3 linked regions of the Stegostoma tigrinum genome follow. The protein of the gene in region 1 purifies or fractionates together with the protein of each later gene. This does not show direct contact. Links are inferred from orthologs where the notes say so. Each region holds a gene or a part of one and is shown on either strand. Other genes may lie near its edges. The genes, in order: hsf1, bag3 and hspbp1.

Region 1 (10,023 bases):
GTTCTCTACTGGCCAACATTCCTTTCTTCTCTCTCCATAGCCCTGGCGTATTTTAACATGGTTCTTTGCACTTGTTTTCTTCACCTCAACAGTGCAGTTAACAGAACTAAACCATGTAAAGAGCTTGTAATCACTACGAGCTTCATCTTGCGTTCCTAAAATTCCAAGCTTTCTGTTGCTGTGAGATCTCAATGCCCTGTTTCACCACTGCAGTTAGTCAGATTGATTGCAACAGAAATCTGCTTTAATATCAAGCTGCAATTCTCAAAGCCTGTGCTAAACTCCCAACTTCAAATCATTTACTTTGAAAGCTCCAACAGGTGCCAACTCCCTTTTTTGTTTGCAAAATTCAGACTGAATGGGTGGGTGTGACTCGCAACAGTATCAACATCAGCAAAAAAAACAGAACCAGTTTGGATATAGAACTAGCCTGAAGGTAGACGAAACACAGTCATGGTGAATGGTTGCATTTTCAGACTGGAGGCCTGTGACTTGCAGTATGCCACAAGGATTGGTGCTAGGTCCACTGCTTTTCATCATTTTTATAAATGATTTGGATGTGAATATAGGAGTAAGTTTGAAGATAACACCAAAATTGGAGGTGTAATGGACAGCAAAGAAGGTTACCTCAAGAGTACAATAGGATCAGATGGGCCAATGGGCCGAGGAGTGGCAGATGGAGTTTAATTCAGATAGGTGTGAAGGCAGGACTTATACATTTAATGATAAAGTCCTGGGGAGTGTTGCTGAACAAAGAGACCTTGGAGTGCAGGTTCATAGTTCCTTGAAAGTGGAGTTGCAGATAGGTAGGATAGTGAAGGTGGTGTTTGGTGTACTTGCCTTTTTGGTCAGTGCATTGAGTGTAAGAGTTGGGAGATCATGTTGCCTCTGTACAGAATATTGGTTAGGCCACTTTTGGAATACTGTATGCAAATCTGGACTCCCTGCTATGGGAAGTATGTTGTGAAACTAGGAAGGGCTCAGAAAAGATTTACAAAGATGTTGCCAGGTTGGAGGGTTTGAGTTAGAGGGAGAGGCTGAATAGACTGGGACTATATTTCCTGGAGAATTGGAGGCTGAGGGGTGACCTAACAGAGGTTATAAAATCATGAGGGGGGGATGGAAGGGCTAAGTAGATAAAGTCTTTTCCCTTGAGTGGGAGAGTCCAAAACTAGCTTTAAGGTGAGAGTGGAAAGATTTCAAAGGAACCCAAGGGGCAACTTTTTCATGCAGAAGGTGGGGCTTGTACGGAATGAGCTTCCAGAGGAAGTGGTGGAGAGTGGCACAATTACAACATTTAAAAAGACATCTGGATTGGTGTATGATTAGGAAGGGTTTAGAGTGAAATAGGCCAAATGAGACTGAATGTATTCGGGATATCTGGATGGCATGGATGAGTTGGACCAATGGGTCTGTTTCTGTGTTGCACATCTCTATGGCTATGACAAAAAAAGTGACACCAACAGCCAGGTATCCTGCTAAATGTCTACCTTACTGACGCAGGTGTACATTATTCTTCAATATTACCTTTAGAAGGTTGGATTAGTTCACAATACACATACACAAAAAAGAAAGTCAAGTTGCACTGGCTTGTCAACCTCCTTCGACTCCGCAGTAGTCATTTACCACGCTAGGATTACCAATTCTCTGGGAATGTTATAAATTGTAAACACCCTGCCTTGATGCTAATGACCTAGTTTGGAAATAGCGAGTCAATTCAGGCAGAAAGTCAACCCGCATCTAATTGCTTTTTGTCATTTGTTGATTCCAAGGAGAGTTGCTGGCAAAGTCAACATTTTTGACCTTTGTCAGTGACCCTTCAGAAGTGGCACAGTGTTGCTTTCTTGACTCAATGAAGCCCTTGAGGACCAGGTACATCCACAACACTTAAGAAAGGAGTTCCAAAATTTGGACTCAGTGAAGGAAAAGTGTTTGGGAAGGGAACTGGCAAGTTCTTATTTATCTGCTGCCCTTGTCCTTTGAGGTGGTGGAGATCATGGGTCTGGAAGGTACTTCCAAGGAGGCTTAATGAGTTGCTGCACTGCATCTGGTAGATCATACATACTGCTATTACTGAGTGGTGATGGTGGGAGTAGACATTTGAGAATGTAGCGTCAATCAAGCAGGCTGCTTTGCCCTGGACAGTATTATGTTTGAGTGTTGTCAGAGCTGCACACGTGCAGGGATGTGGAGAGTACTCCATCACACTCCTGACTTGCACCTTCTGGATGGGTGACTGGCTTTAGGAAATCAATGTCCATCAGGAATTGCAAGGTCATCAGGCTTTTACATAAATCATTCCATGGGCGTCACTGGAAACGGCAGTATTGATTCCCTTGAAAATGTTGTGAGCATCTTTTTGCAGCAAAGTCCAGCATTATTTTGTGATGGAAAAGCATCTGTGTGCCAAATATGTGGGCTCCAAGGGTAAACAGATCTTTGAAAAAACACAGAACTGCAGATGCTGGAGAATCTGAGATAACAAGGTGTCGAGCCAGATGAACACAGCAGGCCAAACAGCAGAGGAGCAGGAAGGCTGACATTTCGGACCGAGACCTTTTTTCAGAAAAAAACAACCCTTCTGGGTAGGCATCTTTAGAAGAGGCTTTGCAGTGGGGTTAAAATTGTTTCAGAGATAGCAGGAACTGCAGATGCTGGAGGATCTGAGATAACAAGGTGTAGAGCTGGATGAAAACAGCAGGCCAAGCAGCATCAGAGCAGCAGGAAGGCTGATATTTTGGGCCTGGACCCTTCTTCAGAAAGAGGGTCTAAACTGAAAACGTCAGCCTTCCTGCTCCTCTGATGCTGCTTGGCCTGCTGTGTTCATTTTGAAAATGCACTGCTGCCTTAGAATCACAGAATCCCTATAGTGCAGAAAGTGGCCATTTAGTCTGCACCAACTCTGAATAGCATCCCACCCAGGCCCAACCCCACAACCCTATCCCTGTAATCCCACATGGGGTTTTTAACCAGGGAGTTTTAACCCACTTAAGCTGCACATCTTTGGACATAACAGGGCAACTTTTAGCATAGCCAATCCACCTGGCTTAAATATCTTTGGTCCGTGGGAGGAAACCAGAGCATCCATACAGACACGTGGAGAATGCACAAACTCCAGTCACTCAAGGGTGGAATCGAACCTGGGTCCTTGGCGCTGAGGCAATAATGCAAACTACAGTGCTATCTATCACTGCAATACACTGTCTGAATTTAACCTTTGATTATTTGCACGTTTATAGTTGCTTACACAAGTAGGAAACAAGGATGAGAACTGGAGTAGGCCATTCAACACAGTATCAGTGCAAAATTCAGAAAGGCCACTACCACTCAGCAGTGGATTCAGACATAATGAAGTGTGGTAAATAATATTTAAAGCATGGGAGTATAGTTTCAATAAGCCAACTCTTAAACAACGTAAACACAAACAACCTTGCCCACAAAACTGTCACTTTGACAAATAATGATGATCTAGCGTTTTTAAATATTACTTCAAACCACAAATCGACTTAATAAAGTAACTTGTCAGATAATACACTTTTTAATCTTAAGAAAGTGATACAGGGCGTTGGGATGTCATCCTTTTAGCAAGCTATTTAAGAGACTATGTTTATTTAAAGCCCACGCCCCCTTGTGCGTGTGTTTTCTTTGAACGAGGCCTTGCTCAAGGCTTCCTGGGCCTCTGATTTACTTACCGCACTCCAGCAGATCAGGTCATTGGTGTCGGGATCCTCGATTAAAGTCCATAGTTTGGTGAGGAATGCGGGCACATTGCTGCCGTGCGCGTCCATCCGGAGACGCGGCCGGGGCCGACCGTGCAGGCGGCGGACCTCAGGCCCCTAAGCCGAGGAGAAACTGGGGCAGGCACACAAGCCGCTGGCTGGCCTCAGTATTCAAGGACCCGGGCTTGGACCGCAAGGGAAAGGTGGTCTAATCCGCTCAGTGAGAGAAAGGGAACGAAGTGGGGCGGAGGAATCTCCTGAACAAAATGCGATCTCCAAAACGACACCTTATCCAGCAGCGGCACACTCCACAGCAACCGCCGCCATCTTCCTCACGCAGTCTTTCCGGGCCCCTCCCCCCCTCAAACCACCCATTACGCAAAACACGGCCTTCATTTACCTCACCGTTTGAAAAATTTCATTTTCCCCTCCTTGCCGCATCGAGAACAAACCCACTCACTTATCTGCTAGACCTTGTAAGGGCCGTTTTGTTTAAAAAAAGTGGAAAATCCATCTTTAACCTTTAACCTTCAGGCTAACGGGCCAATCACCGTTTCCATTCCCACACCCACCTCCACTCGCTACCCGCCTCCTCAACGTGAACGCTACGTCCGTCCAGTGTCCTCGTGACGTCATGCGTTGACTTAACCTCTGACCTTTCCCGCAGCGCGGCTCCTGCAGTAAGATGGCGGCTGAGAGCATGTCGGTGGCCGGGGACAGGAGGAGCAAAACTGCAGGGAATAAGCGGTCGCTTCCAGATCTCGATGAAACGGACCAGGTCTGTTTGACTGTTGTTTTTGCGGGTGTTTTAACTCGTGTTTTGGGTGCGTCAGTAATTTTCGCTTGAAGCGAGGCAACGAGGGCGGGCGGAAATGCTGTTCTCGAAACCTCCAACGTGGGTCTGGATGAAACCGTAGTTCCTATTCAGTTTTCAAATCACTCCTTTTTCTCTCTACTCTCCCTCCTATTATCTTCTTGTAAACCTATTCGATGACTTGCTGCTGCAGTCCACTTTACCACAAGGAGACTGTGCTCCTTAATGTCGTTCAAGATTTTGATCAAAGGATCATGCGTGTTCTCTCTGAACTCTGGTAATTTAAAAATTGCTTCCCGTGAAGGTGTACAACATGTGGCTTCTTACTGTGGGCTCCACTGCTTTTTGTCATCTCCTTTGGCTTGATAGCATTTGATGAAGGAACAATAATATTGCGTGATTCCAGAACCAGGCATCGCAGTTTAATTATTATCGGGTGCCTGTTTAGGACACATGGTCCCACATGGAAGGCTGGTCCAAAAGGTTATAGCTCTTGGGATTCAAGGCAAGTTAGCAAATTGGATCCAAAATTGGTTTACAAACAGGAAGCAAAGGGTGATGTTCGACGGCTTTTTGGTGATTGGAAGCCTGTGACCAGTGGTATACCATAGAGGGAGGTGCTGGGACCCTTGCTGTTTGTTATAGAACAAAGAAAATTACAGGACGGGAACAGCCCCTTCAGCCCTCCAAGCCTGCACTGATCCAGATCCTCTACCTAAACCTGTTGCCTATTTTCCAAGAATCTGTATCCCTCTGCTCCCTGCCCATTCATGTATCTATCTAAGTACATCTTAATGACACTATCGAGCCTGCCTCTACCACCTCCGCTGGCAACACGTTCCAGGCACCCATCACCTTCTGCGTAATGAACTTTCCACGCATATCTCCCTTAAACTTTTCTCCCCTCACCTTGAAATTGTGACCCCGAGTAATTGAGCCCCCAACTTTGGGGAAAAAAGGGTATAATTAGTAAGTTTGAAGATGACATAAAAACTGATGGTGTTAGTGAGGAGAATGGTCTCGGGCTATAGTCTAATATTGATTAACTGGTAAATTGGGCAGAGCAGTGGGAGATGGAATGAAATCCTGATAAGTGCAAAGTGATGTATTTTGGAAGGTCTAATATGGGAATGATATACACAATGTGTAGTCAGTCGCCAAGGGATTGCTGAGGAACTAAGGGACCTTTATATACACGTCCAGGTATCTCTGAAGGTGTCAATACGGGTAGACAGAGGTGAAGAAGGCACATGAAATGCTTGCCTTCATTAGTCGGGGCACAGAATATAGGAGCAAGGAAGTCTTGTTACAACTTTATGAACATTGATTGGGCCACAAATGGAATAGTGTTTACAGTTCTGGTCGTCACGTTGTTGGAACGACTGGATTGCACTGGTGAGGGTGCAGAGCAGTTTCCCTAAAATGTTGTCTGGAATATAGAGTCTCAATTATGAGGTGTGACAAGATAGGACTTTTTTTCCTTCCTTGTAAGAGAGGATGTGTTTAAGACCAGAGGCATAGCTTGATATGCAGAGAGAGTGGTTTAGAAGGAAAATTCTTTTATCCAGAAAGTGGTAGAAATATGGAATGTTCGTCTTCCCTGGACTGACCAACCCCTACCAACACTCGCCTTTACGCGCTCCATCCCTGCCTTCTTGACCTATCTGCCTCCTCTCCACCTATCTGCTCCTTTATCCATCTTTCATCCACCTCCCCCCCTCTCTATTTCAGAATCCCCTTCCCCTCCCCCATTTGTGAAGAAGGGTCCAGACCCGAAACGTCAGCCTTCCTGCTCCTCTGATACTGCTTGGCCTGCTGTGTTCATCCAGCTCTACACCTTGTTATCTCAGAAATGTGGGATGCACTGCCTGAAAGGTTGGTAGAGGCAGGTCCTCATGCAACATTTAAGAAGCATCTGGATTAATGCTTAAAATGCTGGGGCACAGTAAGCTACGGACCAAGTGCAAGTAAAGGGCATTAGTGTAGTTTGGTGTTTGTTGGCTGGCATGGACATGGTGGGCTGAAGGGCCATAGACGGCTTGTCCAAAAGACGTCTTAGACTGAAATGAGAAATCTATTCACCCAGAGTTATTTTCAGTGGAGTTTTTTTTTGTATGCGGAAAGTGGTTGGAGTTTTTTTTTAATGGAGTATGTCTTCTTTTTAAAATGTGAAAAAGTGAAAAGCTTTCACTTAAGATTGTGGAAAAACAGTTGTCTTGTGGAATATAAGATCAACATATAGTTAAAAACCAAAAGAACTGCGGATGCTGTAAATCAGGATCAAAAACAAAGTTGCTGGAAAAGCTCAGCAGGCCTGGCAGCATCTGTGAAGGAAAAAACAGAGTTAATGTCTCACGCCTGGTGACATTCTGAGGAAGGGTCACCGGACCCGAAAGATTAACTCTGTTTTCTCCTTCACAGATGCTGCCAGTCCTGCTGAGCTTTTCCAGCAACTTTGTTTTTGATCCTGATCAACATATAGTTCCCTACGAACAATGAATTTTGAAGTGGGGACCCTTTGCTCGAGCGTGAGTATCTCTTAAGATTATTGTAGAGGGAAAAAGGTTTGAACTCTTATTTCAAGGTTTATGGCGAGGCTTTGACCAGTACGATATAGTTGGTATTTTTGTTTCCTTTTTATTTGTGCATAATAAGCATTGTTGTTCTTTTCTAACAAGTACATTGGCTGCTTCTCATGAATATGTTCATAGAATGATTACTGCAGTGAACAAATTGCAGAAATAAAACTTAAGGCTTGTCAAACCAAGATTTATGAACCAGCCCAGTTCGTCCCCTCCCCCCACTGCACCACACAACCAGCCCAGCTCTTCCCCCCCCACCCACTGCATCCCAAAACCAGTCCAACCTGTCTCTGCCTCCCTAACCGGTTCTTCCTCTCACCCATCCCTTCCTCCCACCCCAAGCCGCACCCCCATCTACCTACTAACCTCATTCCCACCTCCTTGACCTGTCCGTCTTCCCTGGACTGACCTATCCCCTTCCCTACCTCCCCACCTATACTCTCTCCACCTATCTTCTTTACTCTCCATCTTCGGTCCGTCTCCCTCTCTCTCCCTATTTATTCCAGTTCCCTCTCCCCATCCCCCTCTCCGATGAAGGGTCTAGGCCCGAAACGTCAGCTTTTGTGCTCCTGAGATGCTGCTTGGCCTGCTGTGTTCATCCAGCCTCACATTTTATTATCTTGGAATTCTCCAGCATCTGTAGTTCCCATTATCACATTTATGCTGGGATTGTCTGGTATTGCCTTCAAATATGGTCATTGGATGTTGCAGGAAACCTTCATGACCTACCTTTCCCTATAAGAGTGGACTTGATGGGCCGAATAGCCTTACTTCCACTCCTATGTCTTATGGTCTTATAATCTATGTCGCTGAAGGATAAAGGCAGGGACATGTGATAGGCACAACACATGTGCTGCGTGGTAAGGTTGTATATGTTAGTACAACATCTCCTCAATCAAACATCTTGGAGATGTTTCAAGTGCAATATTGTTGCTTGAGAGAGGAGAAGTTACTCCAGTCCCACTACTCTGTAAGAGTATGAGAAATAGAAACAGGATTAGACCATTTGGCCGGTTAAGCCTACTGCAGATTAGGATCCTAGCTGATCCAAAATTCATCATATCCGTTTTTCTGCTCCTTCCCCGTAATCCTAGATTGCTCCGACTGATCAAAAATCTATTTTGGCCATGCATATAAACTAGGGCTCTCCCCTCATCAACTCTCAGTTGCAAGAATTTCCAAAGATCTTTAACTCTGAGTGAAGAGGTTCCTCCCCATCTCGGTGTTAAATTAGTGCTCCTTTATTCTGGGGTGATGCCCTCTGACCCTAAACGCTCCCAGGAGGGGAAACATTCTCCTAGTATTCACCCTGTAAGGCCCTTTAAGAATTCAATATGATTCAATGAGATTACTTCTCATTCTTCTGAACTCTAGTGAGTAGAGTCCCAACCTATTTAACCTTTGCACATAAGACAATCCCTCCATACTAGGGATTATCCTGGTGAACTTCATCTGAATTGTCTCTCATGAACATTTTTTTTCCTTTTGATTTATTCATTTGGTGGAATGTGGGCACGCTGGCTGGCCATCATTTATTGTCTGTCCTTTGAGAAGATGGTGGTGAGCTATTTTCTTGAGCCACTGCAGTTCTCCCACTGTGGGTTGACCCACAATTCCATCAGGGAGAGAATTCCACGACCCTTCTTTTTCAAATAAAGGGACCAAAACTACTCTGAGTACTCCAGAAGTGATCTCATCAGCATCTTGTACAATTGCAGTATGACTCCCCTACTCTAATATTTCAACAGCTTTGAAATAAGGGCCAACATTCCATTAGTCTTCGTGGTTATCTGCTGCACCTGTGTGCTAGCTGTCTGTTTTGTGCACAAATTCCCCCAAGTCCTGTTCTGTTGCAGATTTCCACAGTTGTTCTCCATCTAAATGATCTGCTCTTTTGTTCTCCACTCCAAACTGAACAACTTCACATTTTAAAAACTGAAAGAGCTGTAGATGCTGTAAATCAAGAACAAAATCAGAAATTGCTGGAAAAGCTCAGCAGGTCTGGCAGCATCTGTGAAGAGAAAATCAGAACCTTTATAGGGTGATCTTTATAGATTTTACGAAAGCATGGAGGGGTATAAATAAGGTGAACAGCAAAGTATTTCTCCCTAGGATGGGGAGTTTAAAACTAGGGACCATATTTTAAAGTGAAATAAAATGATTTAAAAGGTATCTGAGAGGCAGTCTTTTCACATAAAGGGTGGCTCGTGTGTGAAATGATTTGCCAGTGGAAATGTTAAATGCAGGTATAGTTACAGTTAAAGGCATTTGAACAGGTATTTGAAGCAGAGAGATGTGGGATAAGGGCCAATTGCTGGCAAGTCGGATAGTTTAGTTTGGGAAACTTGATCAGCATGGACAATTTGGACCAAAGGGTCAGTTTCCTTGGCTCAGTAGTTAGCACTGCTGCCTCCAGTGCTAGCGACCCAGGTTCAAATCTACCCTTTGGCAACTGTCTGTGTGGTGTTTGCACATTCTTCCCGTGTCTGCGTGGGTTTACTCCAGGTGCTCCGGTTTCCTCCCCTGGTCCAAAGGTGTTCAGGTTAGGTAGTTTGGCGATGCTAAATTGCCCGTGGTCTTGAGGGATGTGTAGATTGAGGTGGGTTATAGCGGAACGGCTCTGGGTGGGATGCTCTGAGGGTCGGTGTTGGCTTGTTGGGCTGAAGGGCCTGTTTCCACACTAGGGATTCTACGGTCTTCTACGTATCAGTGGTGCTGAGGTGGAGGTCATCCTGAGTTTCAAGTTCCTAGGAGTAAATATCTATGATAATATCAATGATCTATCCTGGCCCATCCGTGTCAATGCTGCAACCAAGAAAGCACACCAATACCTCTACTTCCTCAGAAGACTAAGGAAATTCGGCATGTTCATAATGACTATTACCAATTTGTGTAGATGCACCATGGA
Region 2 (10,203 bases), on another chromosome or scaffold:
ATTCCAGAAGCTTCATCGATTCAGGACAAAGCAACTTGTGATTGGCAATCCATTCACCACCTTAAACATTTGCACCATTCACAATAGGTGCATAGTGGCAGCAGTGTGTACATCTACAAGGTGCACTGCAGTAACTCGCCAATTCTCCAGTGTTAGAACCTTCCAAACCCACATTATCTACCACTGAGAATGACAAGAATAGCAGATGCATTGGAAGGTCACCAAGTGCAATTCCCATCCAAAATATGAATCGTCTTGACTTAACAGTATCCTCACTCATTCACTGTTTCAGGGTCAAATCCTAGAACTCTCTTCCTGACAGGACTGAAGTACATCTCCGACAGGGGAACTGCAGTGCTTTAAGAGGACAGCTTACCACCACCTTCTCAAATTTGGATGTGCAGCAAATGCTTGCCACTGATGCTCACATCCCATGTAAAATTATTGTGAAAATACAAGTAACATTATGCTGGAAACAACTTTTTTGATTAATCTGAGGTAGTTCTGATTCCAATTTGTCAAACAGTCCTAAGTAAAGTCAATTGTCTCCTTGTGTCCAATGCAATAATGTTACAAGTTTTGTCTTTCTCTACAAATCTCTCAAAGGCTTACTCAGCTGGGCTAATATTGCGTAAACTAATGAGCTGAAGGACATTCAGTTAGTCAGACCCCAACTGGAGTATATCATTCGCTTTCCAGCAAATGCAGAGTTCACTTTCATACCAATTCTAGAGGGTTAATTATGGAACCAGGTTTTATAAACTTGGCTTGTATCTCTTGATTTTACATGGCTAATGGCAATCTAATTGAGGGGTTTGAAATCATTATTCATTTTGTTAAGTTAGAATAAGAGAAAGTAAACTCAGATTAAGTTCTGGGGACCCAGGTCTGAATCCAATCATGACAACTGACAGAATTTGAATTTTTTTTAAAAAATCTAGAGTTAAGAGTCTAACAATGACCATGAATTCATCGTCAATTGTTGAGAAAAAGCCATCTGATTCATTAATGACCCTTAGGGAGGAACTGCCGTTCTTACTTGTTCTGGCCAATATGTATCTCCAGACCCAGGACAATGTTGTTGTTTCTTAACTGCCCTCTAGACAATTAGGGACAGGCAAGGAATGCTGGCCGAGCCAGCAATGCCCACATCCCGTAAATGATTTTTAAAAATAGTACTTCCTTTAATCGGAGGAATACACAACAAATCAGCATCATTTAAATTTTAAACTTGCCCATTTAAGAGAGAAATGTGAAAATACTTAGTTGCTGAAATGAAATATTCATGATCCAGATCAATAGATATCTGTTGGTTAAACATATCAAGAGATATAGAATAATGACAGATAAATTGAGCCGAGTTATTGATCTGCAATGTTTTAAGTGTATAGTGTGATGGAAACAACAAATAAGTTGAATGATCAAACCCTGGTCCTTTGGCACCCATGCCACCTTAACTTCTGCAGTTGTGATAAACTAAATGTTCTTTCCAACACCCTCTAGTCCCTGAATTTCAGTTTGTGTGCTTCCCTCCACTAACAATAATGTTAGCTTTTTCTTACTTGTCGTGCTGTGCAAAACACCTTTTCAAAATATTTCCATCTCTCTTCAACTTTAAAAAGTCCCAAAAAAAACGCATCTCACTAACTAGAGTTATGGTCTGACCTCATAATTTTACCTACAAAACTCTTTATCTGTAAAGTACTTTGGGACACTTTTAAGTTGACATCACTATTTAGCACACATGCTGCTGTTATCTAGGTTGAAGTTTTAATTCTAAATTTACTTTTAATATTTTTGGGTTGCTTTCACCACTCTCAACAGTACTGGTAGACAAACTAGCTCCCAGTCACCCCTGCTGGTTGTTGAAACCAGAGTAAAAGGGTGATCTATGTACACTCAATTCCATTTTCGCTTCCTCTCAGCAAATGTCTCCTTTTAGTGTCCCTTCAAGCTGAGAGCAATGACTCAGTCATTTAGGAATCATAGGGGAGATTCCGTCCTGTACTGTCCTGCAGTAGGTCACATTAATGTCTTGGCATCGTTGACCGTAAAGATGCCTAACAGCCACTTACACCTAAATTTCGAAAGGCTTGAACTCAATAGATTTGTGAAGCGGGTTGGAATTGTTTACACTCAAATAGTAATTAGATTATTAACTTGCAGCATTACCACAAGTGAATCCAAGTGAATTATAACATTTAAGATGAATTAGACTAAAGAAAAGGGAAAAAAAAAAGAGAAGAAAGAAACAGGGGTTGCTCCAACACTGGAGCTAACACTCCCAATGAAGTTAGAGACTAAATGGGAAATGGATAAGTGCACAAACTTCAATGTCAGTTTCAGATTAGTTCAATATATGAAAGTCAGCCAAGAATAATAGATATGTGCTTCAACTGCTTCAGAAGTTAAACATTCTCCAAACTCACAGCTCAGTGATTCAGCACATGACTCCTAATCAGTTCAAAGTTGGAGCTCAGGTACACCTGTGCCCAGAACTTGCTGCTGATCAGTTTGTTCATTTCTGAGCCAATACAGTGGATTCCAGCAAAAAGGAGGCAGACCAGCTCAGGTTGTTTAACTAGCCTTGCCTGTAGAGCTTGATTACTGTAGCCACAAAAGCATTCATAACTCTGAATGCACCATCTTCCTCCTATTACCAGGGAATATAAAATTCTTCAGGGGACAAAATATTGGAATTTTGCTTTTTAAAAAGCACGTCTCGGCATTTAGGTTATCATAAATTCATTTAGGTACAATAACCTCATTTTAAAACTTGGTTTATACAAGATTAGGACAGCATAGTTGTTTAGCTTCCATCAACTGTTCACAACTTTGCCCATTTTTCTTAGGCTACAATATATGTTAAAACAAGGAATGCACATTTCCTAGCTATGTATCCTGGTCATAAGTGTGACAGGATCAGCATATGATCTTCAGATCAGCATCAATTAAAATCTGTTGCCTCATTTTTCTTTGTAATTAGCTCAGTGTTATTTTTGCCTTGAAACGCATTGCTTCATGTCTCCGATTTTGCAGGTGGATTTAAAGGCGGCAGTACATGCGGAAAGAGCAGCAAATCTATGTGCACTGGAAAAAAAAGGAAAGCAGTTTCTGGTAGCTTACTTCACATGGTAGAAACTTCACTACGTGCCTCCGAGCTGTGCTGGGTGTCACCACCAGCGTTTTTAACAGCTGACAGCTGTGCAGCTCCACAGATCCCTCATGTCTCCAAACCTTCTCCTGACAACTGACTCAGGCAGCTAAACAAGGTGCCCAGCTGCCAGGCCCTGCCTGAGCCCAGGCAGGCACCGAGCGAGTTCGACATCAACTCAGATAGACCCAAATCTTGCTCGGATTTTCAACTTAGGGCCTGCTATTTTGTTTGGGAGGAGGGAGGGGAGGGGTGAATGATCCGAGAAACTGAAGCACAGCAAGAGGGGAGGGTTTGCACAGATCACGCTGCACATGTAGCCCCTTTCCTCGAAACCTTGGCCAGGCCGTAAGTTAAAGGTTACCCAGGCGATGTTTCATCAGATCGGACTGCAGTGCGTCATCCCAAAACCCAATCTTCATCACTGACACCATCAACATGCCATTTTTGTTCGGGGCCAAATTGCTGTCAATGTTGGTTTCGCTTTATCTCTCATTTAAAAACAAAAATTAAAAAGCGGGGGGGGGGGGGATTGGGGGAGGGGAGCATGGATTGAGTAAAGGTGTCTGATGGAGCATTTACCTTTTTGCAGCAAACAATCCCGACTCCAGGGAGGGATTTTGTTTTGTTAATCGGGCTGTTCGTTACAAAAGACTGAAGCTGGGGAGGAGAGTGTCCCCTGTCACCCCTGCACAGACAGAAAGGCTTGATCTGCATTTGTAAAAACACTACAGTCTCTCCCTCCAGACACCCTCCAGGGTCAAACACGTACACACCCCTACCCCCACCTACATACATGTACACACACACACACACAGAGAGAGAGAGAGAAAAACAAACAGCCCCTCGTTAGAATGTGTTCGGAAACCGTCTCCGGGGGGGGGGGGGGGACGGACAGACAGCACTGACCTTCGGCAGATCCAGTCTCGGGTCACTCCACGTTGTCGTCCGGTTGTTGTGATCGACGAAGAACGGCCAGCCGGTCTGAGGGTCAATCTTGATCTCCCAGCCCGGGGGCAGGGCATCGCCGCCGCTGGCCGCCTGATTCGGAGAATTCTTCATTGTAAAGCCGGGCATGGTGAACTGAGCCATGGTTAGTCCGCTCTCCCCTTTCCCCTGGAATATTTATAGAGTGACACGGGCAGGCAGAGGGCTGCACTGGAAAGTCTCTAGAATTTGATCTGGGAGCAGTGAGCAATCGGAGGCTCGAATGTTCTGGCTGCTTCTCTGCTCCTGTGAAGACGATTGGGCGAGATGATAAAGCCGCATTACTAACCCATTGCTGTGCACGAACTGCAGTAACCCAGGGTTGGGTTACTGGCAAAATCTCCTCAGCTTCCCTCCCCCTGCTCCTTTCCAAATGGCAAACAGCTTGACGCCTCAATATGTTGACCAGAAACGGTCTCTCCCAGCTCGGATCAATTCTCAGGCACCCCTGATTAATTCATCAGATATTGTTAGGTTGAAGAGACAGCTCCAGATCCCACTATACCCTAATATGGTCAAAGTTTTAGCAAGTGGCATAAACTTTTTCGAAGGATTATAAATCATGAAAGTTGAGTTTCATTTTGGTTGAATGAGGTATAGCCATATAAGGTGCATTTCCAAAATAAAACAATCATTTGAATCACATCAGCCGGGCTGCGGTGCTAAATTCGCTGCCTAATTAATATGTAAAAGACCGAACCTGTCAAACCAGATTTATAAAAACCGAAAGAACTGCGGATGCTGGAAATCAGAAACAAAAATAGAAATTGCTGAAAAACCTCAGCAGGTCTGGCAGCATCTGTGGAGAGAAATCAGAGTGAACGTTTTGGGGTCAGATGACCCTTCATCAGAACTGATAGTTGCTCAGAAAAGTTGGTTTTTATGCTGGATAGGGTGGAGGAGATGGGTAAGGAGTAAACAGTAAGTGGATAAAGCACAGGATTTTTTTTGCAGACAGAAGGTAAATGTTCTGCAAAGTGATCACCCATTTCCCCATTGCAGAGGAGATCACATTGTGAGCAGGAAATGCAGTGGACTACATTGTGTGAAGTGCAGGTAAAGTGCTGCTTCACCTGGAAGATATGGCTGGGCCTTTGGATACTGAGGAGGGAGGAAATAAATGGGCAAGTGTATGGAAGGTGCAGTGGGGAGTGTTGGGAGTGAAGGAAGAGTGGACCACAGTGTCCCGGATGGAACAGTCCTTGCAGAAAGCTAACACGGGAGGGGAGAGGAATATGTCTTTGGTGGTGGTATCCCACTGGAGGTGGTGGAAACAGCAGCTACCTGAACTTCCAGTTGCCTGCTACTTCAGCACACCGTTTTATTCACTGGCCAACATCTCTGTCTCAGGCTTGCTACAGTGCTGCAGTGAAGTTCAGCACAAGCTGGAAGAAAAGCATCTCATTTCCTGCTGGAACTCTACAGCCTTCGAGACACAATATCGAGTTCAACAATTTTAGGGCTTGAAGTACCTTCTCCCATGCCCCTAGACAATCCCCACAGACCAGACCTTGTTATCACATAGTCTGCAATTTTGCACAACCCATTGTTAGCCAATAATAATCTCCATTAGTTGGTATTCATTTTCCTAGCCTGACCGTTATCCACTCCTCTGTCTGTGCAATTCTTCTTCTCTCTTTGGGCTCTATCTCCACCTATCATTTACTCCCTACCACCTCCCCCCACCCTATCTTCTGCATAAAAAAACAACTTTTTCCTCACAGTTCTGAGGAAGGGTCACTGGATCTGAAACATTAACTCTGATTTCTCTCTATGGTCAGATCCGCTGAGCTTTTCCAGCTATTTCTGTTTTTGCTTCTGTTATACTAGATGATAGAATCATGTATATTGTGGTGACCAGTCACCGTATTACTGTTTTGATAAGGATCCTCTTTAAGAGAGTCAAGGAAAGCAGAAAGGAAAGGGCACCTTAGCTGTTAGCCTTGAAGATAAATTCTATGATACAAAATTAAAGGCAGCAGAGTTAGGCATGGGTAATAAAATGTGAGGCTGGATGAACACAGCAGGCCAAGCAGCATCTCAGGAGCACAAAAGCTGACGCCTGCTGTGTTCATCCAGCCTCACATTTTATTATCTTGGAATCTCCAGCATCTGCAGTTCCCATTATCTCAGAGTTAGGCATGGGGTTGGGTTATGTTAAGGTCATGTTTTGAGGCTAGGTTTCAGTCTAGGGTTAGATCAAGGGTTTTTGAAGATAAGATATCCGTGTTCATTGATTTTCCATCTTTGCATCTGAATTCCAACAGGAATTAGTACAAATGATGATTAACACAAAAGTACTGAATCGTTCGTGATGCTTCTCCTCGATCCTCACCCACCGCAAGATCAAGCATCAGTGAAATCCATGGATGTAAAAAGAATTGACTCCTTTCTTCCCCAAAAAGGCTGGTGATGAACCCCAAACTATGTATATCTTAGGGCTGTTGTGATGCAATGGTAGTGGCCAAACCTTTGACTCAGGAGGCCTGGGTTTACATCTACCTGCTCCAAAGGACTGAGTGATTAGAATGAAAAAAAAATAAATTCGACCTTGTTCTTTGAGGATACTTACTGGCAATCAGGATGGTAGCTACTTCTGAATAACTAACTCACCCTGGGAAAATAACAATGTTGTTTGATTTCTTCATTATGATCAATTTTTAAATTTTACATGTCTGTATTTGATCTTCATTTCATTAACCTCATATCATTATTTGCCTTCTGATTTTAATTAATGGGAATTGATTACCAGAATGTTCCACTTCCTGGTTTACTGATTGTGAAAATTCTTTAATGTGATTGAGCAGTTTAGCATCTTGATGTCATCTCTGCAGTTCCCTGCTGAAAATTCTCATTACACAACATTCCACCCAATTGCTTGCCCAGAGAGGTAAAGGTCCAAACACAGAGACTGATAGATCCCTTAGCAAGACCATCTTTAAGGTCTACAGCAATTGCCATGCTTCATACAATCACAAATTATAGGCTTATATGGATGTTGATGTAAATTTGAAGTAAGCCTCTTTTCAGTTCTGCAACATATTTAATTCATTAATGTACCCTATAGAATTTTAGTTCTCTCTGTGAAGCATGAACAGGGACGGCAAATTAGTACTGTCACTGCAGGATCACTCTATTCTTGCCATTTTAACCACAGATTTTAGCCAATGAGTCAGGATAGGCGAGAGCCTCATTAAAATATGAGTCCATTTCTATAATGTTTGTCGGACTTCAACATCATTTTGGCACCAGAATCAGTCTCTCCAAGTCCCTGAAAATAAGAAATTGGAGGGAAATTTTCAAATTCCATCGATCTTCTTTCTGACATTGCTGTTATCCCCAAGCCCGCACCATGCCCCAGTAAGATCAAATTTCTTTAAATGGATTCCATTATGGACCATTTCATTTGGATGGAGGATGAGCTGATACAAAAGAGCAGCAACCACATGAGCAGTAGGTGATCCTCTTAGATAACAGCAAATGAGGGGGGCCTGCTGATAGGAGCCCACGCCGAGAATACTGGGTGTAATGGCTGAAAATTGGTTTCTTGGATATATCTGATTAGCAGTTCTTCTATATTGCTGATTTCCTCATGCCCCTGCCACAGGATCTGTTACCTGCTGGAACTAGGCAGTCACTATTTACCAGGGTGTCATCAAAGTTATTTTGTTACTTGTTTTACGTCCTCACTCTGACAGGTTAGATCACATGTAGTGTCAATCTCTGAGCTGGTGCTTGTGTCAAAGATAATAAGACTGGGCTCTTTGACGACCACACAGTTCACTTCATTCACTAGCAGATGTTGTCAGCCTATTGGCATCGCACCCTCGTTGCCAATTTTATGTCAAAGATTAAATGACTGGGTTCTCTGAGGACCACACAGACAGATTTTTGGAACTCACAAACAATATCTTCTACTTGTACAAGGGCGGGTTTTCCTACTGACAGCAAGGTATTGATACCCTAACTGTCAGTCTGAGAAGAGGAAAGGGTTATAATACACACACAGTATTTATACAAATCTGGATAGATGCAAATCGTTCCGTTTGGCAGTTGGATCAGGCAATGGGCATGTGACATAGCCACAAAATAGTAATAAGACTTACAGAGAACTGAACAAACAAGATGCGGTTAATGAGATTACAATTTCAACTCTTTAGCCCTTAGTTAACAAAGTGTTCAGATAAACTAGAATAGTGGTCACTGCTGCTTGGCGTCATGAGATTACAATTTTACCCATTAACCCTTAGCTAACAGATAAGCTCCTACATTTGACTGAGTGCTGGGGAGTGGGCTGGTTACATGGAAATGTAGAAGATGGGGGCAGGAAGAAGCCCTTTGGCCCTTCAAGCCTGCACCGCCTTTCATCACGACCGTGGCTGATCATTCAACTCAATAACCTAATCCTGCTTTCTCCCCATAACCTTTGATCCCATTTGCCCCAGGTGCTATATCTAGTTGCCCCTCAAATACATTCAATGTTTTGGCATCAATTACTTCCACAGGCTCACCACTCTTTGGGTGAAGAAACGTCTCCTCATCCTAAATGGTGTAAAAGGTCTAACCCCCCCGAATCCTCAGAGATTGACCCCTGAGACACACCCACCATCAGGAACATCCTCCTTGCATCTACCCTGTCTAATTCTGTCAGAATTTTATAAGCATCTATGAGATCACCCCCTCATTCACCTGAACTCCAGTGAAAACAATCCCAACCTAGCAAATCTCTACTCATACATCAGACCTGCCACCCCCAGAATCAGCCTAGTAAATCTTTGTTGCACTCCTTCGAGAGGAACAGCATCCTTCCTCAGAAAAGAAGACCAAAACTACACACAATATTCTAGGTATGGCCTCAGCAAGGGCCTGCATAACTGCAACAACACATCCCTGCTCCTGTACTCAAAACCTCTCGCAATGACGGCCGAAATACCATTTCCCATCTTTTCCGCCTGCTGCACCTGCATGCTTACCTTCAGTGACTGGTGCATAAGGCCATCCAGGTCCCATTACACACTCTCCTGTCCCAAATTACAACCATTCAGGTAACAATCTGCCTTCTTGTTTTAGCTTTCATACTGAACAATCTCATATTTATCTAAATTATACTGGGAATGAACTGCTTAAAGTGCATTCTAAAGTAAATATTTGCATCCTCTCTTGCATCATGTACAGGTGCTAAGAAGGACCCATATCAAAGAGAAAATGCACAACAAATACCTTGGTTGCATATTCTTGGTTGACAGTCATTAAACTGCATCCAGATGTTGTCAAGCTGGCTGAATATGTGACTGTTGAAGTGAATTATAAATAATAGACACACTGCTCAGTTAACCCTCTCCTTCCCAAAAGCACTCACGTTTTATGCTGGGCTAATAGTTTGCAAAATTTCTGTTCCTTTTGAATGAGGGTCCCAATATCAAGTAATTATCCTCTCATCTCGCTTCTTAACTTCACTTGATATGCTGTCTTATGCTGCAGGAAGAGAGGGTGGGAATTACTAAGTGGCCCTTTGAAAAACAAAATGGGGATAGGTAAAACTGCAGTCCAGGCAAATATGCAGTCTGGATGGAGAGGTGAGGAATGTAAAGGCAAGTGTGTGGATTGTGAAGATAAGAAGAACGATTTATGCATTTTTGGAATCAGGAAGAGAGTTGTTGCAATATATCCTTGTTATTTAATTTGAAGGTCAAAAAGAAGTGAGGGTGTTGGGAGAGGATGGACAGGAATTTTTAATAGAGTCAGATCCTAAGGTGTTCAAGTTGGGACTTAACCTCTCAGCCATCTCTGTCAATGTTGGCATTCTGTCCATTCTGGTTATCTTCCTGCAAATTTAGCAGAACAGGATCTCAGTCTCTGTGCATGACGATACCTACTGACAGCCATTATTCAGTATTGCCAATAAAGTTTTCACAGATACTGAAAAGTGAGCTTGTAACTGCTTTTTAGATAGTCCTTCGCTGGTTCACTGGAAATTGCATGGCGCAAATAGGATGGCTACTCATTCCCAGATGATGGGTGGGAAGATTATTAATCTCATTCTCATGAACTTTTAGGCCTGA
Region 3 (10,769 bases), on another chromosome or scaffold:
TTGTAATGTCTTTTAAACAGTAGGCCATTGGGCAGAGGGTGGTCAGGGAGGTGGGCTAAAAAAAAACAAATAATTCACACGTACTTCTTCTGGCATGGGATGCAATTCAGGAGCTGTATCCCCCACTGAACCAGCCTCCACTGCAAGCCTCAGCAGCCCCTGCAGATTGCTGGGACGTTGCCTGTTTCTCTCCGATCCACCGTCTGCCATTACTAAGAAGCTTCAGTCTGGAAGAAAGGAAAACCAAACAACAACCTTTTAAAGCAAAATAGTACTCAAGTAAATGGGTAAGGCAGACCGAAGTTTGGATTTTGTTTACTTACCCTATTATCTGATTTTGCTTTGCATTCAATTAATCTCCCCTGCCTTCCTTCTGACCCTAGACCTTGTCTTTGGTTCGTTTTCTCTCCTCCAGCCCACTTTTTCTGCCTGTGCTTACCAAAACTGGTTATGCCTCTAATAAAAGTTCATTTGCTTGAACTCATAACTCGGCTTCTCTTTTCACAGATGCTGCCAGGCTGGCTGAGTATTTCCACCATTTTCTGATATTTTATCAAGGGTGCTAGAATTTGGAAATATTTCACTTGTTCTTTCATTCAAGCAGGGAATGTGAGGAAAACACCCCAATTCTTTCCACCACTCCGTTGAGACAGAAGGTACCAGTGTCATCGAAAAGGGGTTTATCCTCTTTATTCTTCACAAGACCTGGTGTTACTAGCAAGGCCAGCATTTATTACCATATCTAACTGCCCTTGAGTAAAAGAATTGCTTGGTTGTTTCAGAGCTAAGAGTCAGCAAAATAGGAAAACAGGATCAGGAGCAGGTGTGGGCTGTTTAGCCTTTTGATCCTGCTGCATATTTTAAATGACCATGGCTCACAAGGTTGTGGTCTCAATTCCACTTTCCTGTCTGCCCTGCATAATCCGCGACTTGCTTGTCCATCTAAAATTTAACTGACTTTGCTTTGAATAAATTCAAAGTCCCAGCCTATACGACCTCTAGGGGAAGGGAGTTCTACATTAATGGCGCTCAGAGAAAAATATTTCTCCTAATCTCAGTCTTAGAAGTGTTGTAGATTCGGGGTCACATCTCAGCCAGATCATGCAAGAGTTCTTTCCCGAAAGGATACTGTTGTACATGAATTGTCTCAGAATTGTTGACTACAGGGAGGCAAGAGCTGTACTGTCATGTGGACACAGTGACTGTAGATAGACCTCGCGGTCTCGTCTGATCTTATTCCTATGCCCAGATATGCAAACATTCAGGCTCACTTCACACGTGCAAGACAAAACACACAGCAGGTCAGTCAGTAAACATGAAGGAGAAAAGCTTTATATGTATCACCTGCATTTGCAACATCACAATCTCCTCATACAAAGAAGTGCCAGGTAATGATCATTAATAAGGAGTCTAACCATCTCCTATTCAATGGCACTCTCATTGCTGTATCCCATGTCGTCAACATTCATACTGCACACCAGTCAAGAGAGGGCAGGGTGATGTGGGGTATTAACCTCTGATCAGAGACTGAATTGGACCAGCCATTCAAATACTGTGGCCACAACAGCAACCCAGCAGCTAAAGATTCAAAGGTAAATAACGCATCTCTCAACTCCTCAAAATCTGTGCACCACCTGGAGTGTGACAGAATACTGTCCACTTTTTTTTGCTGTTGCAAGATGGCAAAGTAGGATGCTCGTCCACTCCACCTGCTCTTCTTTTCTCCTCCTAGTGCTTCTTTTCTTCTTTTTTTTTTGCTTTGACTCCTGGCGTCTGCAAGGAGCGACATTCCCCAGCCTGGCAAACTCCCAGCACTGGCGAGGTAACTTCCTCCTGTATGGGCCCCCTGGCATAGCATGGTGACCTCCTAACATAGGGACCTCGCCGCCTGGCACTGCAATGTTTCGAGCTCATGCAGCATAGCAAACTCCCAGCCTGGCACAGCAGTCTTGTCCTGTGGGGCCTCCTGCTGCGACTTCCCAATGCAGCGTGTCGCCAGCGCAGTGTGGAGCCAGAGCCCAGTGCATACTGGAAGCTAAGTGCCAGTGTGGTCTGCTGTACTGAACTCTTTTCAGTATTATCTAAAATCTTGGCACAGTTTTTTTGTTACAAGGTACTTTTGTATCTAAGTCAGTGCTGTAATTGGCAATGTATAAATTTTTCACTCTCCATGTTGAGTATATGTGACAGAAAGGTCTATTCTATTCTTTCAAACACAAATGCAATTCCAATTACACTTGAAAAGATCATCATCGACCAGATGGTGGTGCCCCATCCACTAGTGTAACCACTCACCTCCTACAAGATGATACAGCTACTCATTTTGGTACCTTCGGCATCACCCACCTAAACCACAATCCCCAGCACCTTGCATGACAAAGGCAGCTGAGGCAAAGGAGCACCACCACCTGCAAGCTCATTTTAAGCCACACACTGTCCTGACTTGGAATCATATCTGCATTCTTTCACTGTGGCTGGTTCAATATCCTGGAATTCCCTTCCCAATACCAAGTGGATTACAGCAATTTAAGGCAGCCGCTCACCAGCACGAACTCAAATGAAATTCAGAATGGGCAATAAGTGATGGCCTTGCCAGCAACACACACATCCTACAAAATATTTTTTTAAAAAATACTATGTGCCTACATTTTGTTTCCACATTTTGACATACGCATAGAATCCTGGCAGTTAAAAATGCATCTTCAAGAGGCAAGACATAACTCAGGGCTACCCAAGCTACAGAAAACATCAAATAAAGATTTGCTCTAATGGAGGAATTGAAATGATTTTAGTAGCTTTTTGGGCCATACGCCTAAGCTAAACAAACTATCAAAGATAATCAAGGAAAATTTTGATGAAAGAGTACAAAATTATAACAAGTAAGGTGGAAAAAGAGGAGCTGTTCTCATCAGCTGATTTTATAAAGATGAAGGGGCACCAATTAAAGGTTTCAGGTAAGCGATGCAAAGTAAATTTGAGAAATAAACTATTTTTTCTGTTTTGAGGGGTAATGATGTGGAACTCACTGCCTATGAGATTGGTGGAAGCACAGACCGTGATTTCACAAGGAAATTTGGCCCACAAGGCAAAAAATACACAACCACTGAGCTTTGTCCCTGTTTTCCCCCAAAGACAGCTGCTCTCTATCGATCCTAATTATTTTTAACATCTTAAACACTTTAAAACAGAACATCCTTCAATTTTAAATGCAAGGCCCCTGTTTCTCAGAATTTGTTCTATTGGTTCTTCCCAGTTCAGTTCCAATTATTCATTCAACATTGAACCTGCCTCTCTGAATCCCTTGTACAAATTCATCATGAGTTTCATCTGTTTTGCCTGGGTCTTTAGCATCTCAAGGGTAGAACCCAACCAGAATATTAGGGTAAAAAAACTATTTCGATTTCAGAAAAAAAGTCATCTGTTCAGACCAACCGCAAACAATTGTTATATAATTTCAAATCAACCTGTTCAGAGATGTTATTACACACTTCTAAAGCAAACGAGTGTTGAACCATGCCTCCTGGTCCACAGGGACACTACGACTATCGCACAAGTGTACATTTCTCAGCCACTTGCTATACACAGCCACTAGGAATGGGACAGCTGCCTAAGAAAGAAAAGTAGCCTCTCAAACCTGCACTGCCATTCAGCAAGATTGTGGATGATATGCCTGTGAGCACAAGGTCCCTTTTCCCGACTTCAGTTTATAGCCTAAAAGCTACAAAAAGCTGTAAAATATATCCCTCCGTGGGGATAAGGAGGAAAATGCTCTTGAAGCCCAGGATCAACTCCCACTCCTCCAGAGGGGTTATATCATGTCTGAACAGATTAAGAATACCTCTCCGTCCTTAGGAAAGACGACTGCCTTATGGACCACCCGTGTTCACATTACATGTATGGCCTCAACAAGGCTTCCAAATGTTACATATCACCCTCCTTGCCAAAACGAAACCCATTCGGATTCAATAAGAACGATCCTCAATGCAGAGACAGCAACGTGCTGCTTTGATGCTCCTGATCAACGAGGTCAGTGTGGAGACGCACTGTGCCTGAAATAACGGACTGCGGACGCTGAGAGCCCGAAACTGGAAAAGCTCAGCAGGGCTGGTGTCATCTGTGGGGAAAGAGACGGAGTTGAGGTTTCGGTCAGAAACCATCCCCAGGGAAAGGGGGGAGGGGTTCGCCGCAGAAATGGCGCTCTGCTCCGCTCCAAAAACCAGGCCCATACTGAGAGGAATCGTTTCCTCACCCACCGTCCCCCCCAAGTCAACAAGACGCCTCGAAATGGTCGCACACCCCACATCCTGCTCTCCCTTAAACCTCCACAGGCTCCCAATCCCGTTTCAATGCACTGTTACCGGACAGGGAGAGGTCACTTACCCCGATCTCCACGACCTCTTGGCCCGGTCACCTTCCCGGCCGTGCAGCCACCTCCTGCCGCTGCCGACCGCACCGAAGCTTCTCCACCTTTCCAGATTCTTCCAGCGCATTCAGCCCATGGGCGCCACCATCTTGCCGGACGTTGCGCCACGGTTGCCTTGTGGCGTCAGGGTGCCGGACGTGACGCCACTGCGGGGCAACTGGCTGCGTGTGTTGCCATCTGAGCGCCGCCATCTTTGAAACCCACCAGCCCCCTCAGGCCTTTATCTCACTGAAGCCAGAGGCAGGGAGGTTCAATGAAACTAAAACGTAAAGCCTTGTTTTCTGTCCACAAATGGTGCCAGAAATGGTGTTTCTTCAACAGTTTCTGTTTTTGTTTCAAATCATCAGTTATTTTTATTATAAACAATAGGGAGACACTGGACTTTGATGCTCCAAATTACAAAGCAATGGAGTTTTTAACAACTCAAATAAAGGCCATGAACTCATCATATCTACCTATTCTAATCCTATTTTGCTGCACTTAGCCTGTGTGCTCATCTAAATATTTTACTTTCTCGCCATACAAACAAAGTTGATAACTGATATTATGAGAAGAGATTGTGTTGGGACTGTACCTATTGGACTTCAGAACAATGACAAAAACCTTAATGAAAAACATAAGATTCTGAGGTGATTTGACAGGGTATGTGTTGAGAGGTTGTTTCCCCTTGTGTGACAGTCAGGACCAAAGGCAAGAGTAAGAGATCTTCCATTGAATACAGAGATGAGGAATTTCTTCTGTCAGACAGTATTTTAATTCCCGCAGAGGACTGTTGATGTTGGGTTGGTATGTTCAAAGCTGAGGGGGCAGAAGGGGAATCAAGGGTTACGAAATAGGGCAGGAAAGTAGACTTGAGGATTATCAGATCAATTACAATCTTATTGAATGGTGCAACAGAGAAGAAGCAAATGTTCTGCTTCTGGTGCTATGTGTCATGATCTTTGCCAAGTAATTAAACCTTTTTTTTGCTTATTCATTAACAGTGTGTGGGTGTTGCTGGCCAAACCAGCATTTATTGCCCATCTGTAAATAGTCATAAAAGAGATATGATGAATTGTTTTCTGGAAACTCTGCAATCTGTGTGGAGAAGGCATGTTATAGCATGGTGGAGGAGGTGAAGAGGAAGAAGCTTAGGGAACGGAGGTCAAATTACTGATATGGCCAGGAAATTGGCTGAGTGGCAGGTGACAAAATGTAGAGGTTATGCGTAGACACTCAATTTGACAGCATTTAACCAGTGATGTCCCAGAAGGACCTATGTTTAGGCCTCGATTATTTACATTATTTATTAATGACTTAAACAATAGCATTGAAAGTCATATCCAAATTTGATGATGACACAAACTAGGTGGCATTGTGGACAGCATAGACAACAGCATTAAATTACAAAGGAATATTGATAAACTGTGGCGGATGGAGTTCATTATAAGAGTAGGGTTATCCATTTTTGACCAAAAAGGGATAGAAACGTAGAATCCCCACTGTGCAGAAAATCAAGTCCATTTCAGCCCATCAAATCTGCACCAACCCTCCAAACAATATTCCAGCCAGAACACCCCCCCCCACCCCATAATCCCAAATTTAGCATGGCTAACCCATCTAGCCTACACATTCCCAGACACTATGCAGATAGTGTTCCACTAAGAGCTTGAACAGCTCATCAACTTTGCTAACACCTTCCAGCCAACCTCAAATTCACTTAAACCATCTCTGTTACCTCCATCCGCTTCCTGGACCTCTCCATTTCCACCTCTGGTAACCGCCTCAACACTGACATCTATTTCAAACCCATCAACTCCATAGCTACCAGGACTGCACCTCCTCTCACCAACCCCTTCCCCCCCGCAATATTGCGATCCCATACTCCCAATTCCTCCGTCTCTGCCGCATCTGCTCTCAAGATGCGACGTTCCTCTCCTGGACATCTCAGATGTCCTTCTACTTCAAGGACAGCAACTTGCCCTTTCCAGTGATCAAAAATGCCCTCAACCACATCTCTTGCCATTCCCACACTTCTGCCCTCAAACCCCCTCCTCCCAACAAAATAAAGACAGCATCCTTCTGTTCCTCACACATCACCCCACCAACCTTTGCATGCAAAGCATCATTCCCCACAACTTCTGCCACCTACAATTCGATTCCAAGACCAAAGAGATATTTCCCTCCCCATATCTTGTGCCCTTAGTAGAGACTGCTCATTCTGCAACTCCCTCATCCACTCCAAACTCCCCATTAGCCCCACCATCTTTCCCTGCTACTACAGGAAGTGCTACACCTGCCTCTAAACCTCCCCCCTCACCTCCATCCAAGACCCAAAGCAAACTTTTCATATCCAATAGGGGTTCACCTGTACATCCTCCAACTTGGTCTACTGTATCTGATGTTCCCGATGTAGCCTCCTCTACATCAGTGAGGCCAAGCGCAGACTCGAGGAGTACCTGCACTCTGTACGTGACAAATGATAAAACCTTCCAGTCATGAACCATTTTAAGTCCCCCTCCCACTCCCTCGATCACATGTCCATCCTGGGCCTCCTCCAATGTCACAATGACGCCACCCGGAAACTGGTGGAGCAGCACCTCATATTCCACATCAGAAGCCTACAGCCTAATGGCTTAGACATGGAATTCACCAGTTTTAAAATCTCCCCTACCCTGGCCTCATCCCATGTCCAACCCTCCCCTCTCATCCCCACCTCCATGGACCTGATACAACCTGCCCACCCATTCTCCCTACACTTCCCACCAACCAATCCCCACTACCCCCATCTGCATCCACCTATCACCACCCCACCTACCTTCCCCAGCCCTACCTATCCTCCCTCCTGCCTCCTTGACTTGACAATAACCTGTCCATCTTCTCTCCCATCTATCCACCCTACCCACCTCACTGACCAAACCCCACTACTCCCTACCTGCATTCACCTATCACCATCCCACCTACCTTTCCCCAGCCCCAACCCTCCTCCCTCTATGTATTTCCCAGCTTCCTTCCCACTCCCCAGTTCTGAAGAAGGGTCCACACCCAAAACATCAACTTTCCTGCTCTTCTGATGCTGCCTGACCTGCTGTTTTCCTCCAGCTCCATACTGTGTCGTCCTGGACACCACGAGCTATTTAGCACAGCCAATCCACCCTAACCTGCACATCTTTGGACTGTGAGAAGAAACTGGAGCACCCAGTGGAAACCCACGCAGACAAGGACAGAATACGCAAACTCCACACAGACAGTCACCTGAAGCTGGAATCAAACCAGGATCCCTGGTGCTGTGAGGTAGTGGTACTAACCATTGTATAGCCATGCCACCCATAGATGGATCAGGGTACTTTCTAGACTGTATGAAATTAACTACAGTGGATGTCCAAAGAGACCGGGGGGGGGGGGGGGGGGGGGTGCTCAGGTGCATATCTTGAACAGGTGCAGAAAATAATCAAAAAAGCAACAGGAATGCTGACATTTATGTCTGGAGTACAGGAGTTTGAGGATGCAGAATTTATGCTGAAGTCAAACCAAAGTCTGATTAGACCGCACTTGGAGTACTCTGAACAGATCTAGGCACCACATTGTAGGAAGGATATAATGGCCTTGGAGGGAGTGTAAGATTTACATGAATGATACCCGGACTTCAGGGTTTAAGCAACAAGGAGACGTTTTACAAATTAACTCTGTTTTGTCTAGAATTTAAACTGTTAAGGGGTGATCTAATCAAAATCTTCAAGATACCCACAGGAAAAGACAGGGTAGATAAAGATATGATGTTTACACAGGGTCAGGGCTTTAAAACTACGGTACATAAGCTGAGATGGCGGGTCAGACCACTCAGGAGAGATGTTAGGAAGCATTTCTATAGACCAAGGGGGAGGGATAAATGAAGGATAATCTCGTTGAATGATAGAACAGGCTTGAGGGGCCAAATGGCCTATTCCTGTGTTCCTAAGGTAATCGCACAGTTAAAGCTGCAAGAGCTCCAGCAAGACAGACGGGAACAGCGATAACGTTCCAAGTCAGGATGGTGAGTAGCTTGGAGGGGAACTTGTCAGTGATGGTACTCCCATGTGTCTGCTGCCTTTGCCCTTCTAGATGAGAGTGATTATGAACAGTTAATGAATAAATACTGCTTAAAAGTTACAGGAGTACCTGGATCAACTACCCTTTCACACAGTGAGTTCCAGACTCTCTCGAGCTTCAGAGCGAAAATAATTCTCAACTGTCCGCTTTCCTCAAAACTGCTATGAGCTAGCATCATCAGCACAGTGGCTGTGATTAACACTGCTGCCACACAGCACCAGAGACCTGCGTTCAATTCCAGCCTCTGTGCAAACTCCACACAGACAGTTGCCTTTCTCCCTGTGTCTATATGGATTTCTACCATTTGCTCTGGTTTCCTCCCACAGTCCAAAGATGTGCAGGTTAGGTGGATTGGCCATGCTAAATTGCCCCATAGTGTCCAGGGATGTGTGGATTAGGCAGTCTAGCCATGAGAAATGTAGGGTTACAGGGTAGCTGAGTTGGTGTAGATGTGTAGGGCCAATTGCCCTGTTTCCACACTGTATGGGTTCTATGATCATCACAGAATTAATGTTTTGAGAAGGGAGAAACAGCCAGTGGAAAAGGAACAATCAGGGGAAGATTTTGAGTATATGAGATTAGCTATCACTGTGGGAGTGATAACGGTTGTAGAGAAGATCCAGAGTAGGTTTTTAATGATAGGATATATGTGACTGCTGCTGAAAAAAGCAAAACCAAGAAAACCAGAGAATGGCAGGGGTGGGGAACAGTCACTGTCTGAATCCAATGTTGCATCCTGAAGGCTGTAAGATGTGTAAACAGAAAGTGACATGCTGTTGCTGCAGCTTATATTGGGGAGCTCTGCAGTAGCCCCGGGACATATATATGTATAATATATATATTAAAGACCAAGTTTATTGAAACGGGAAATGGCCAGAAGGTCAAGGTCATGCTTGCAGACCAAGCAGTGGTTTTCTGCTAGGCTGTTGTGCCGTCTGTGTTGCCTCTTTACAATATTGAAGGGGCCACATGATGATTGGTGAATACAGTAAACTAGAAGTGCAAGCTAAAGACCGCCTCATCTGGAAGTTGTGGTTGGAGTCTTGGATTGCGAAGAAAATTTTACACGTCCCCATAATTGCATGAGGTATCGTGAGAAGGAAATGAGGTATTGGGAATAATGGACCAGGATACCAGGGTGGGAGAAACTTCTTCAGATGCTGAGTGGGGAGCGGGGAGGAAGATGAGTTTAGTGGTAGAAATGGTGAAGAATGATCTTTTTGAATGCAAAGGTTGGTGCGAACAAAGTTGAATGGACAAGAGAAACCTTACTCCCACTTCTGAGAAGGAGAGTAAGGGGTGAGGGTAAAAATGCAGTAAGTGCAGTGAACATTGTTGAGGGACCTGTCCACCAGAGTTTGGGGGGGGGGGTGTGAAAGAGAGGGCAATGGAGGAATCCTTGGCTGAGGAAAAACGAGTACATATTGGAAGCACTATTGTGGGAGGTGACATCATTGGCACAGATGCGATGGAGAAACTAAAGCAGGGATGCTCACATGTAGCACTGTGAGAGGAGGTGTAGTGAATGCAATTGTTGGAGTTGGGAACTTATAATAAATACGAGCAGACAACCTTTCCTGGCAAATGGAGATAACAGAAATTAGGGAAAAATAAGAGATGGACCGCATAAAGGTGAGAAAGATAGAAATTGGAAGCAGAATGCATTTTATTTTTCCTGTTTCAGATGAGACCACGAAGCATTGACCATCAACTATAGTGGGGAGAATTGTGGAAGGGAGACCCCTTCAAAAAGACAGGTAGAACCAGGGCCTGTGTGGGTATCCATGTTTACACCTTTCATTTGGAGGCAATTTTGATTTCCGTCTTCTGCAGTATCTTGCTTTTGGTTTAGCATTAAGTACAGTTTGCAGAAAAATGTCTGCGTACTTTGAAGTCAGAAATGTTTCCTAATTTCACCGCAAAACATCCAGCTTGAATTTTTAGATCCTAGCCCAACCAACAGAAAGTTTGTCTATTCTTTTGTATCCATTTATATCAATGAGATGTGAACTCCTGCTCAACTTTCTCTTCCTCGCCACACTCCTTACCCCTCCTCCCGCAAGCTCTATCATGTCATGCTCTCTTGCAATCCAAGATGAAGCAAAGACTGACATTTGGCTTGGACATTACTGCCCCCTGGTCAGTTAACTAACCGAGGATGGAGTTTTTATCCCACCACCACCCCCGAGTAGCAGCTTTGCTGGTGAGAAAAAAATGACCACTTCTCCCAAACAAGTGACTGCATGGAATTTAATGCACTGAAACAGGGCGGCTCAGG

Evidence for each region.
Region 2: the proteins of hsf1 (region 1) and bag3 purify together in Homo sapiens (affinity purification with mass spectrometry; 3 studies listed by BioGRID and IntAct, with this or other methods). This does not show direct contact. The link is inferred for Stegostoma tigrinum from reciprocal best matches to the Homo sapiens genes HSF1 and BAG3.
Region 3: the proteins of hsf1 (region 1) and hspbp1 purify together in Homo sapiens (affinity purification with mass spectrometry; 5 studies listed by BioGRID and IntAct, counting the BioPlex papers as one, with this or other methods). This does not show direct contact. The link is inferred for Stegostoma tigrinum from reciprocal best matches to the Homo sapiens genes HSF1 and HSPBP1.

What each region holds. Positions count from the first base shown.
Region 1 is NC_081355.1:158,992,317-159,002,339, reverse strand, and holds the start of hsf1 (heat shock factor protein 1), read right to left. Parts: upstream 4,061-10,023; 5' UTR 3,789-4,060; coding exon 3,693-3,788; intron 1-3,692. Other genes in the region: ribosome biogenesis protein bop1, read left to right, coding at 4,405-4,497. UniProt on the Homo sapiens protein: Functions as a stress-inducible and DNA-binding transcription factor that plays a central role in the transcriptional activation of the heat shock response (HSR), leading to the expression of a large class of molecular chaperones, heat shock proteins (HSPs), that protect cells from cellular insult damage.
Region 2 is NC_081373.1:25,966,454-25,976,656, reverse strand, and holds the start of bag3 (BAG family molecular chaperone regulator 3), read right to left. Parts: upstream 4,569-10,203; 5' UTR 4,247-4,568; coding exon 4,064-4,246; intron 1-4,063. UniProt on the Homo sapiens protein: Co-chaperone and adapter protein that connects different classes of molecular chaperones including heat shock proteins 70 (HSP70s), e.g. HSPA1A/HSP70 or HSPA8/HSC70, and small heat shock proteins (sHSPs), e.g. HSPB8.
Region 3 is NC_081391.1:14,490,607-14,501,375, reverse strand, and holds the start of hspbp1 (hsp70-binding protein 1), read right to left. Parts: upstream 4,538-10,769; 5' UTR 4,381-4,537; intron 228-4,380; 5' UTR 211-227; coding exon 85-210; intron 1-84. UniProt on the Homo sapiens protein: Inhibits HSPA1A chaperone activity by changing the conformation of the ATP-binding domain of HSPA1A and interfering with ATP binding. Interferes with ubiquitination mediated by STUB1 and inhibits chaperone-assisted degradation of immature CFTR.